3 linked regions of the Drosophila melanogaster genome follow. The protein of the gene in region 2 interacts with the protein of the main gene of each other region in a pairwise test. Each region holds a gene or a part of one and is shown on either strand. Other genes may lie near its edges.

Region 1 (3,809 bases), 8.3 Mb from region 2:
ATATCACATCACATGGCCAAGTGGAAAAGTGAAACGAGCGGCCGTAGCCCAATCCTCCTCACTCCACTCGCTGCTCCATCATTGCTGATTGACGTCGACAAATTGTATTAAAGCCGTTAATTGGCATTTCAAGATTTTCAGCAATTTCATAAAATTTAACGCCTATCATGTGTCGGCCAATTGGCGTCCGTCTGGCTCTTTGGCTCATTGGATTATCGCACCGTTCGCCGGACTGGCCATTGTTTGTTTTCATAAACACCATCGATAACTTATTTTCGAAAACGTATTTTAAAAATATTAAGTTCGAATTCTCCTCGTGACGCAACTGGCGCTGATGGCCTGCGAAGAAATGATTTCCAAATGCCAGGAGGATCTCCTTCTTGGACCCTAGTTCCCTGATTTTCCAATTTCATTCAGCATTCCGCTGGCCGGTGCAAATCCACAAATCAATGTGCTGAAAACAGCCTTGTTCACACCTCGCCCGATGACTATAAAAACACAATGAACATCGTTGAGTGGGCGTATTTATATTTTGAGCAAACAGTCGTTAAAAAACGCCGCAGGATATATTCGAGCCATTGAGATTTGAGTTTAATGGCTTTCTCTGAATGAATGGGAAATTCGATTGTGAAGTATAAAATCATTGGAATGCTTTCTGGTTCATAATATATTATTTTGCGTTTTTATTACAATTTGTTATCTATCAAACTGTACGGCTTCTTAAAGTTATTAAAACCCTAAATTACAGGATTAACTGTCTATTGTTGCATCTTCCAGTTGAATGGAGAAAATGTTCCGACGCGTTGCTACAACCAGATATACCGACAATATTCGATAAAGACAAATTAAAATACATCACATATCAAATATATAACAATTTGATTGTGACATTTCATAGATATAAGGGAATCTGCCTTTATTCTCTGAAAAGAAGAGTTATTTTCATTTTTTGCAGTATACTTTAGTGCGCACTTGTTATTATCAGATTTTCAGAAATAGGTGGCGCTAGCGTCGCTTGGCCATCTACAAAAGAATTTAGCTCCTGTTTGGAAATACTGCTGTCATATTCTGACGGATTATGGCTATTATTGCCCTATTAGAGCTCGATGTTAATAAAAATTACAGTTATTTTAAAGATGGCTGCCTGAGCGAATGCACCCAGTAAGAAACTAGAGATGGGCGATCGCATAGTTATTTTGGCCGTGACACGAGAATAACAAGTCTGACACGAAATATTTATTCATACCTTATTGTTTTTCCAAATCACACTGCAAGTGATCTCGCACGTACGCAGCTCTAAAGAGTTTTTTTTTATTAATAGTGAAATGTATTATTTTACGTCTTTAGTTTCGATTTGTCTACGAAAGAAAGGGGTGTTTGAGCCATGAAAATATCGCCATAGGGATTGGTGGGTTTTTGGCTTTCGCGGTCGAATTCGGAGCCAATGGCCCACAGCGACTCCAGATCGTATTCCTCGCGAGCACTCGGTGAAAATATGTGCAGGGCAATGTTGCCTAAAAGGAAACGGAACGTGTTAGAGCGGAGAAACCGGAATATGCATTTATTTCAATACCCACCCAAGTCCATGGCCATCCAATCCCGGCTCTTATCGCCCTCGATGCGCGGCAATATGTCACCCTTGCCCCGCTTGATCTTGAACATTCGGCGCACGAACTCCGCGGTGGACAGCATGTGTCGGTAACTGCGACCACTGCAAACCACCAGGTGGTCAACGTACTTCAGGTTCTCCGGCACGTAGCAGACGAATATGTCGTCCACATTCTCCTTGCGGAGCAGCTCCACCAAGTCCTCAACGTCGAACACTCCGCGAACACCTCCTGCAAAGGGAAACAAAGGCTTAAATTTCTGCTCTCCCTGGACGATTGCCAACCTACGCTTTAAATTGAGGCCGTAATAGTGATCCAGCTCCAGGTCCGGCTCTGGAAGTTGCTGCTCCTGGTGGCGTGCCTCTTCCACATCAAAAATCTCCGTGGCTTCCTCATCGCGGAATATTTTGTACTTGTCTTGCACGCCGGCAACCAAAGTCTTTTCGGGATTGCCTTCGATTTCCTGGCCCTTCGCTGCCTGTTGTGGCGGCTTGGAGAACTCGTGGTGGAAGCAACGCAGGACAGGCACACTCAGGCGCCTGTCGTGCACTAGGCGGAACACGCGGGTCAGCATTTTGCTTTGGCTTCTTTCTGTTGTTATTAATAAATTGGGTAACAGTTGTTGATTCGATACTTTTGGTATTACTCGATAACACTGGTCAACGATGAGCGATTGTAATATCGGTATTTTAAAGTATTTGAACCCAATTTTCTTATCAGAATTTTTCTATTTTACTTTTAAAATATTTTATTTTATTTTTTTTATTTTATTTTTATTTAAAATATTTTATTTCAATTGTTTTTATATTGTTATGTCTTTAGTTAAGTATTTAATTTTATATAAATTATAGAAAACTTATCCCGAATGTTATATTATGTTTCAGTAAAGTTCTAATTTCTGCGCAAGCACTTTAGTTTCAGTATGTGTTCTATTGCTCTACAGCGCCTGGTCACATTATTTGATGGTGAAAATATCGATAGACGTAACTAATATTTCAGAATAATAATGTCGCAGATACAATATATTGTGTTTGGCTTGCATTTGTAAATAGGAATCACCATAAGAGAATATAATATGTAATGCGATCAATATAGTGATGTACAATCGAACTATCACTCGGTATCGCACTGCAAATACCGATAGTATTTCGCAAGCTCAAATATTCGATACATCGACACTGTCGTGAGTTGTCCAGCTCTAGTTCTCCTCTGAAATTAACCAGCCGCCTGATAACCAAATTAAAAGTTATTAAATCGGAACAAATCGCAGCAAAGTGTGCACAATGAGCGAGCAGAAAACGAGTGGGAGTGGGTCGGCGGCCGCTGCCCGTCTGCAAATCGAGGCGGAGTACAAGGACAAGGGGCCGCAATGGCATCGCTTCTACAAGGTAATTGGCAACAACAACTGCGACTGCACTGAAAACTGGTTACAAACTGGACGAATGATTGTGGCACAGTTCGATTCGCCAAGGATTCGCAACGGATGCGGAGTATACACCTTTCCACAGCTCCTTGGCGCTCCGATTTCCACGAAAATGTGATGAGTGCGCAAAAGGCTTCTGCAGATGCCTCCACCACCAACACCAGTGCAGCGGCGAGCTTTACGTGTGTGCGTGTGTATTGTGTGTCAGTGCTGTTGTTGTTGCAGTTGTTGCTTTAACAGCCAGGCTTTGGCCAAAAACAAAAACCCATGGAAAAGAATGTACAAACAGAATAGCACCAACACACATACACGCACACCTGCTGCACTTTACTTTGCATTCTCCATCGAACGCGTGTGTGTGTGAGTTCGTGCGTGTGTATTGGCCTGTATTTGGCATATTTATGCTTGTTATTCTGCCATACCTTTCCCCAAAAACGCTTTCCTTTGACTATCAATAGAGCGCTTGAGCTATTCCGCGAATTCTCGTTTGGCCAAATCAAATTGGAGGCGATTTCTGGGAAGCTCGTTGTGTTTGTGATTGCCGTCCCCCAAAAACAAAATACAATTCGTGGAGGGGTGACAGTGCTCTCCACTGAAGAACTCCTCTAACGCGCGCACACACACACACACCCGCTCGCGTTGAGCAGGAGAGAGAGGCTCACGCACACAGGGGCACAAAGGGCATGCGTCTGGTTTTTTGAGTCTCGCTTTGGGCTGCTTCTGGTTGCCTGTCGGAATTGGAGTCGGAATCCTCTCCTTGCCCCTTCTTCTCTCCTCCT
Region 2 (3,446 bases):
CCCAGGTTCTGCTGCACCGAATCACATTTGTGTCCTTTGTGTTGTCGCAACTGAATTCTCTATTCTGTCCATGAATTATGTATCTTCTTCATATGCAATCTATTGGAACGTTAACCTCTCTTTGTTGATTTCTGTCTCTATACATATGTGTTGTTCGGTCCATGTTCGGTTTTGATTTCCATGATTTACTACTACTACTACCTCCTCATAAATGCCTAGCCTTAAGATATAAACTTGACTACTAGTTGCGCTAATGGAAACCTCTCCTTTGCATCTCTTTCTACGCTGGCCAATGCACAGAGTCGTGCGCCCATCTCGGCCAAATTGGTGGCCAACATGCTGTCCGTTGCTGGAGCGGATCACATCATCACCATGGATCTGCACGCCTCACAGATTCAGGTAAGTCAGCCCATCAACAACATTTGTATATTTATCTTTGATATTAGAGTGATTTCTTATCGTGCCGCGATTTGTATATCAGTCAATTAATTACGATAAAGAAAGTGTGATTTTCCTTTTGAACGACGTAACAATTTTTGTTTATTAAAGTGAGGCCAAAGAAATACTTATTTAAGGGTTTAAAATAAATTACAAAATATACAGTACAAATATATCCAATAACATCAGGTTTGAATCAAAAGAGGAGCTATAATCTCGCCGGATCCTCGGAGAACCGACAAATCCATCCGTTGGCTAAAAGGTGCCGAATTCATAGCAGGGTTCGGCGGCGTTGTCAGACCGGGATTGAAGCTCTGTGTCGTCATCGGTCCCGTTGAGGGTGTGTGGCATGGATAGAATGCTCACGGATAGTTTGGCCATTTGATGGAGTAGCACATCAATACGTTCATTCTTGAGGGCAATTGTGTTCTCCAGGTGATTGGCCCTCTCGGCAATGGAATTGATGTAGCGTGACTTCTCGGCACTCTCCCTAATAGCATTGGCATAGTGTTCGTACTCGACCACTTTCTTGGATACCTTCTTCATCTGTCCATTGACCACAACATTCACGTCCATGGTCAGCACCTGGGGTTGACTATCGATCGAGCAGGAGCGCTCAATCACTTGGGTGAGGGATCGGTTGAGAGTGCGTACCACAGAATTCTTGTTAGCCAACTTTTTAATCACCACGCTCTTTTGGGAGCTCGTTGGCGATACACTCAGACGGGGTCTTGGTCTGGGACTAGCGCACTTGGTCACCGCGATTAGTTCATGGAACAGTGATTCTATGGCTCCTGGCGCTGCTGACGCCAGCTGCTCCAGCTCCGAACGTGTCAAATTGATGCCCAATTTCTTCAGTACCTTCTGATTGAAGGTCTGCCAGCTCTGGAGTTTCAGGGCCACGCTGCTCTTGGGCGTATAGTTGTGCAGATCCACCAGACGAGGATGACTGCGCTTGACAATCTTTGCCACCGGCAAGACATCGGAGAATGAACGACGAGCTTTCAGATCCAGGATAATGCGCTGCTCCTTTAGCCACTGGTTCAGGTCATTCTGCTGTTCGTTCTCCATACTTAGCAAGGGGTGATTTGGGGTTTTCGGATTTTACCTGCTTTTTAATTTCTGTTGTAAATTTATTTTGGCAAGTCTAGCTTCCATATATGTTTCAGACAATAATGCTTGATAGACATACTCTCTGCCAATGACTGGCAGCTGTGTCAACTGGCAATGACTACTGGATGGCTAAATTAAAACTCATTCGATAAATTCTCCATTCGCAGGGCTTCTTTGATATACCAGTTGATAATCTCTATGCCGAGCCGGCGGTACTCAAGTGGATCAAGGAGAACATTCCCGAGTGGAAGAACTCGATCATTGTGTCGCCCGATGCTGGCGGTGCCAAGCGGTTAGTTGCAGTCTTTAATCCATATGCGTAATAGATTAATAATGCTATTAATATTTCACTTTAAGTGTCACCTCAATTGCCGATCGACTGAACGTGGAGTTCGCTCTGATACACAAGGAGCGCAAGAAGGCCAACGAAGTGGCCTCTATGGTACTGGTGGGTGATGTCAAGGACAAGATTGCCATTCTGGTCGATGACATGGCCGACACATGCGGCACCATTGTGCATGCCGCCGATCGCCTGGTGGAGGCGGGAGCCACCAAGGTGTATGCTATTCTGACGCATGGCATTTTCTCGGGTCCGGCGATCTCGCGGATCAATAATGCCTGTTTCGAGGCGGTAGTGGTGACCAATACCATACCGCAGGATGGACACATGCGGGACTGTCCCAAAATCCAGGTGGGTTATATCATATATATGCTTCTTTAGATGTGAATATAATTTTTATTTTTTTTTTCTCAGTGCATTGATGTCTCGATGATGTTCGCCGAGGCCGTCAGAAGGACACACAACGGCGAGAGTGTCTCGTATCTCTTCTCAAATGTTCCATACTAAACAACAAACAATCGGCAGAAAAACCAGCAAACGTTTGATAAAACAGCAACCAGAACACCGTTAGCAAGCCACAGCAAAATGAAAAGAGAAAAAAACCCACTTTAATAGCAATTTGTAATGCAATTTTCAACACAAACACAACAATTCGAAACCACATATTTTGCCATCATCATCGTTATATATTTTTTATGGATTAACTATTGTAATTAAAGTAAATGCAAACTCAGTAGATGGGAAATCGTCATTGTGTAATTATACTAAATAGGAGCATAAAAAATAACACTAAATACCGCAAAAAACAATACAAAAGTACACAAATGCAATGCCTTTCCTTTTGTATAGTAAGTTCTTTGTTTAAACAAACTTTTTGCCGTTTTCTGATTTTACAAGTTAACACGAACGATAAATTCCCAGTTGATTGGTGTAAACATTGGCCTGCTCTTAGAGAGAAATTTAGATTTGTAGATTAACACCGTAGAAGATATACACTCAAAACACACACACTCACACAAACACACCCACATGTACACCCACACACACAACAACAAAAAATTGTAATTTTACACTGTGCAACAACTTTTTGATGATTCTTTATTGTAAGCTCATAAAGAAAAAAAAAACGCAAAATACTTGCAAGTTCAAAACAAAATCTAGTAAAATTAAGTAAAACAAAAAAATACAATTGAAAAGAACATAGCAAATAGGCGTTAAAAAATAATAAACAACCAAACAAACAACAAAAATAAAACTAAAGAAAAAAATACAAAAAAAAATATTACAGAAAACTAATGCAAGAATGTGTTTTTACTGGATTTGTGGAAGGATTAGATATTGTCCTATAAAAAGGGAATATTTTCTTTTTCGTACTCGAATATAATTGTTATAGGATCTTTAGTTTACTTTTACTTTAAATGCTTAAACCAACTTTAATTAACTGAAATCCTGGTCTTATAAACCATATCCTCATCCCTTGTCCAAAGAAACTCATAATGATTCAAACTCTTGGTTAATTTATTTACACATAATTATTGGATATTGTAATGACTGA
Region 3 (5,407 bases), on a different chromosome or scaffold from region 2:
AATAAAATTCAATTAACGCGCTTAAATTAAACTGCCACTTCCTGTTTTGATGACATTTTCATGGCAGCCTCGCTCCGGCGAAGAAGCAGCGGGAGGCCATTCTGCAGCGATAGGAAGAATGCGGTTTGGAGTAACTGAAGCCTGTTGCTGGCGTTGCTCGCTCCTCCATTGATGCGGTTCGTCCGGCATCAATATTAAATGGTAAACGGCCGGCATAATGGCTGTCCAACTGCGGCTGTCATTATGGGGCCATCAGGAACCACCAGGACCAAGAAACCAGGGACTGGACAGGTTCCATGCCTGCTCCCGATGACAAATAAAGCTCATTACGCGCTTGTCCGGCATCCTTCACTTTGCCACTGATTGACCTGCATCTGCGCGTGGCGTCGCCGTCAGCAGTCATAAGTTGCACTGCACTGCGAGAAATGTTTGTACTTTGTGCCCTTGAGTATGCAGTGGGAAAAGGATTTTAGAATGAACAAGTACTCAAATAATGTTGCATATTCTATTGATCATTTGCACAAAGTCCAATTGACTTAAAATATTTTTATTCCTCTTGCGACGCTCCCTGAATGCAGTCCATCCGGACTTCATTATCGAGCTGACCAACTCGGACGCCAAATGACACAAAGTCATTGGAGCGTTCAGGAGTGATTCAATTAGAACTCAACTTGGCCAAGTTGAACTCTTCGCTGCAGTTAGCTGGACCAACTTCTTTGCATCTCCAGCGTGGGCCTTTGTCCCGGCCTGACACCCATACAATTCCTTTGGCCGGGTTCGTTTCTTTGCGCGATAAGCAACTTTGGCCAAGCAACTGGCATTTAATTTAATTAGAAAGGAAAACAGCAAGAGGGGCGGGGGGCGAATTGGGGACGCGCCTGATAAGAGGATGCTGTTGATTGAGATGCCCGAGCTCAAAGCAGACGGAAAGCGGATTTGTAGCAGCAGTTCTGGTGGAGGTCCTTTGCAGGATCCTGTGGATCCTGCAGCTTGCAGGGACAGCGGTACAACAGCGAGGCCGGCTTAGTTTGGACAACCTGCTGGGGCAAATCTTGGCTTGGAGTGACAGGAGGTATGCGAACGGGTTGCAATCCGGAAGATTCATTGATGCCCGGGCTAACGGAGGCTGGTAGCGGAGGGCCATGCAAGGATGTGGCAGAGATGTGGCTGCTGTTCGTTCCGGATTCCTCGTCAACGCCCTCGGCATTCGGCTTAACTCCTTCCTGCTGTAAATCATTCGTCGAGAGTGAAGGATGCGCCGCATTCGCGTCAAGCGTGGCATGCATTGTTGTCCTTTCGGGGGGCGTGGCTGTCACTGGCGATGTTCTGGCCGGGATTTCACTGGAGTCGCCAGCGACGTCCGTGGTATTAGTCCGCAGCAGAGTAGCGGCATTCGAGGGACTGAGGTTATCCGTCGAGTAGGCGCAGCCCTCAAGCAACTTGGTTAGGAACTTGTTCGTTGGCAGCACTGGCCTGCGCTTTCGCCAGGTGTCCTGTCCGGTTATCCTGTCCTGTCGGCCCACGACTGGCCGTGTTATCCCGGCAAAGAGCTTCTGCCGCAGCTTGTTCTCCGAGCGGCACATCTCGAAGGCGTTGGCAATGGTCAGGAAAATTTGCTCCGCCAACAGCGCTCGGCGGGGAGTGTAGAAGTCCCGGCAGACAGGACATCGCTCCGAGCGGATGCGACAGTCCACGCAGAGCAGGTGTCCGTTTTGGCACTGCATCGCCGGCGGTGAGATGGTCACCCCGCAGACAGGACACTCGACGAGGCGCAGGATGCTCTCCAGGACGAGGGACAGGCGGCGCAAACTGGTGGGCATGGGGGCGCAGCAGATGCTCTATGGATTTTTGAAAAAAATATTGTGTTAGCGCGATTTTAATGGGGAACGGATAACTGAGTGTGTTTGATGGTTTAAAGAAGGATTTCAGGACTGCAATGAAAATACTCACATTAGTATCACAGTCCTTATCACATTCACTGTTCCAACAGAGAATTGTGACGCAGTCCTTTTGACTCTTCACCATTTTGGCGATTTCAGACACTCTCAAGCCTAAAACATCGTTGCCATTTACCTGGAAATAAAATATTATAGAATTTTATAGAAAATGTCTGGAAATGTTGTTTATTTATTTTAGGAAATAAGTGCCATACAGAAAGCAAGTACCAAGTATCTAAATATTTGGATTTCCACGAGCTACCAAAGAAAACAAATGAATACCACAAAATATGGCCAACACAATTACAAATTCGAAAGCACTGCTTGCGGCTGTATCGCACGCACTGCTTGCGGATGTTAACCTTAGCTAGCACTGTTAACTCAATTGGCTGTTATCTGTTATCTGATAACTGATATTTGCTTTGAATATTTACTTCGTGCTAATTAATCTTTGTCATCAACTAGTTGTTTTACTACGTTCGAGTTGTGTCATTAGTTTTAGGGCGGGCTGTGCATTCACCAGCTGTTTCTAGTTCCCCACTCCACATCCAATAAAGTTTCTAAATAAAGTCGATGCCGAGCAATTAAGTTTTACTGCATTGCTATTTTAAGTAAACAATATCCACGAAGAACAACAAATGCGGCTACAATAGCGGCTGCAAAGTCCAGACTTGGATATATGTACGGTCCAACTTCCATAGCTCAAGCTATTCGTAATTTAAAAGACCATAGCGATTTGAATTTGTTTCTAGAAGTGCAAATCATCATATTGGAATGCTTTCCTGAATAGTACTTTTTATCTTAACTTACGATTCACACAAATTTGTAGAACTTATTGACTTGAAAACTCGCAAGTATACATAATTAGCTTTACAACAAAAACTACATTATTTTTCTAGCTGTTAGCTAACAAAAGGAACTTTTTTCTGATTATAAATATATTATAATTTTAATGGGTTCCTCAAACTCTGTTTTCTTCTATCCTAAGTGGAATGCACATAGTTGGGAACCTGAGTAGCAGTCTCAATAAGCTCTTAATAGGTTTACAAAGTAAATCCCCGCGTCGATCTATTGCATTCTTAATTTTGTAACTGGAGTTCAGGCGCAGATTGAGTTACCAATGCAGTTTAGTTACCAATGCAGTTGGTCTGCGCTGTGCATAATCCGCCAGTCCATTGCTGGCTGAGAGCTGAAAGAACTGACAACGGTGGCACCAACCTGTGGCACTAACTTCTACTCACCTCCAGAACGCAATCGCCGGGTTTCAGGCCGCAGAGAGCGGCAGGTGTGCCGGCTGCCACTTCGCAAACCTGTCGGTGTAATGGGTATATGGTAATTAGGAGGGGACGGGATCTCCAAACGATGGCCACTTTTATTACCCAGGGATAGGGATCCCATTTGCTGCGGGTCAGCTGAAATCCGTAGTTCTCCATCGCAGGTGCGGCTCTGGGAATTCTCAGTAGTCGCACGGAGGAGCCATCGCCATGCTGCCCATCTTCATTGGATGTGGAATGAAATCCTCCCGCTGATTTCCTCATTTTCGGGCTAGAAAACTCGCACAGGTGCTCGGATCGTTGTGGGCCAAAATAAAAAGCGGCTAGCGAGAGACGTGTTCAACGTGCGCTCTCAGTTGGCAAACTGTTTTTCGTCTGTCTGTTGATTTTTTTTCGAGCCAGCTGGCTGGCTGGTGTATGTGGCTGGCTGGCTGGCTGGCTGGCTGAAAAGTTGCCGAGCGGCGAGCAGTGAACATGGAGCGCTTTGGGCCGACGCAATCGGCTACGACAAACATTTTGGCCAAGCTCCCCAGCATCACACATTTAACCCCTTCCACAACTTAATGACTTTGGGCCATCTGACGCGGTGTTGTAAGTGCTCGGCGCCAAAATGTGGCTGCGGTTCAAGATCCGAGATTCGGAATTCGAGATCGGAGATCTGAGATCTGAGTTCCGAGATCCAAAGCTGACACCCAGCTGAGATCATGGAAATGAGACTTGTGGAGCTAAGTAAATATTTGAACTTTCGGGCTGGCAGCGGTTTTTGGGTGCGCTATAAAGTTGCATGTCTACGTATTGTGACACCTTCAAATATACCGAATAAATAAACAAATTCTTCAGCGATTAAGTCATTTGATAACCTGGTAAATTAGTTGGTTCGAATGTGCAGGCTGCTACAATTGTGCGGAAGTGAAATCGAGAACATGGCCAAATACAATAGTTTTCATAGAAACCTTCGGCTATTTCTCTTCGCTTTTCATGGAAACCTTCTGCTATTTCTCTTAAATTGAAAACAATAAAGCTGCGCTTATCACTTATACCATGTTTTGTTACTAGAGATTAAAACTATTAAGGTAAATATAGCAAAACAGCCCAAACAAATATAAATAGCCAAAATAAACTGAACAAGACCTGCAAATTAAGTGTTAAATTGTATATTTATACAGTTTGGTTACGGTTTTGGCACAAATCGTAATCAGATAAAATCGCTATTAGCAGTAATGCACACGAAACTTAATCAGTTTAATTCCCATTTGTTGACTTTAAAAGTTTTCCGACTTTGTAATTAAATTTGAAAATAAACAGCACTATTTTTCGGCTTAATTGCGTGTTGGCAGTGTCAAATGGCCAGTGCATTTGCGATTGAGTGGCCAGCAAGTAAACCAAAATATTATTATTCGAAATGCCAAAAGAAATTAAAACAACAACGACGAGTGTGTTGGCACCGCACTAGGGTGTCAAACGGCGATAAACATAAACAATGGGGCCCTAAATAAATAATTGGGTCTAAAACCGGCTCGTCGATTAACCCTAACAATGATAACTGATGGAAATTGGCAGCTGACAAATGGATTTGGTTTGGCATGGCCAAACCATCGACATCCATTTGACTTTCGCTTTTTTGTTGTTTTGTTATCGCCGGTTTAACTGCCATTGAGGCGGTAATTTGAGTTTGGCGCTGCTCTGGTCGTCTAAAACATTGGCCAAATAGCATTGAAATTGGTAATTTCATTTAAATTTGCGCCCAGCAAAACTGACCCTGGGCGGCATTGTGGTGCGTGGTGTGTGTGTGTGTAATTTGTTTTTGGCTTTTCAATTTGCCAGTTCAATTAGATTTGGCCAAATTTATGTGGCACGCAGAAGCGTTCGGCAGCCAAAAGCCGTCAGCAGTGTCAAAATTAGAGAATACTTACCCAGGCAATAACATCGAAATTCATGTTTCTCGGAAAGCCATCCACCTGAAAGGTAATTGACTTTTATTAATCGGCCAGCAATTAGGCCGGGCCCAAAGGCAAATGGCCAAATTCAAGTGCAATTCCGCCTCTTCACACTATTGGCTCTCGACTTGTTTGTGGCCAGTAGATGCGGTTTCCAAAAAACAAAATAAAACGATGAAAAGCTCGCTGAAGCCAAGTGCAAAGCTCTGCCCACAGGTGGCGCTCGCTTTAAGCCAAGTTAGTAGGTCTGCTGGTCAGC

Evidence for each region. The genes of interacting proteins can lie anywhere in the genome.
Region 1: the proteins of CG16719 (region 2) and CG9166 interact in a two-hybrid assay, tested with the Drosophila melanogaster proteins (one large-scale study listed by BioGRID).
Region 3: the proteins of CG16719 (region 2) and CG6688 interact in a two-hybrid assay, tested with the Drosophila melanogaster proteins (one large-scale study listed by BioGRID).

The regions. Positions count from the first base shown.
Region 1 is NT_037436.4:1,349,558-1,353,366, reverse strand, and holds CG9166 (uncharacterized protein), read right to left. Parts: upstream 2,252-3,809; 5' UTR 2,182-2,251; coding exon 1,896-2,181; intron 1,839-1,895; coding exon 1,578-1,838; intron 1,515-1,577; coding exon 1,336-1,514; 3' UTR 514-1,335; downstream 1-513. Other genes in the region: Ptp61F (protein tyrosine phosphatase 61F), read left to right, coding at 2,891-2,995.
Region 2 is NT_037436.4:9,683,318-9,686,763, reverse strand, and holds CG16719 (uncharacterized protein), read right to left. Parts: upstream 1,594-3,446; 5' UTR 1,510-1,593; coding exon 694-1,509; 3' UTR 514-693; downstream 1-513. Other genes in the region: Prps (phosphoribosyl pyrophosphate synthetase), read left to right, coding at 301-399, 1,719-1,843, 1,909-2,242, 2,306-2,398.
Region 3 is NT_033777.3:23,010,582-23,015,988, reverse strand, and holds CG6688 (uncharacterized protein), read right to left. Parts: upstream 3,578-5,407; 5' UTR 3,476-3,577; coding exon 3,317-3,475; intron 3,248-3,316; coding exon 3,179-3,247; intron 2,074-3,178; coding exon 1,951-2,073; intron 1,839-1,950; coding exon 915-1,838; 3' UTR 514-914; downstream 1-513.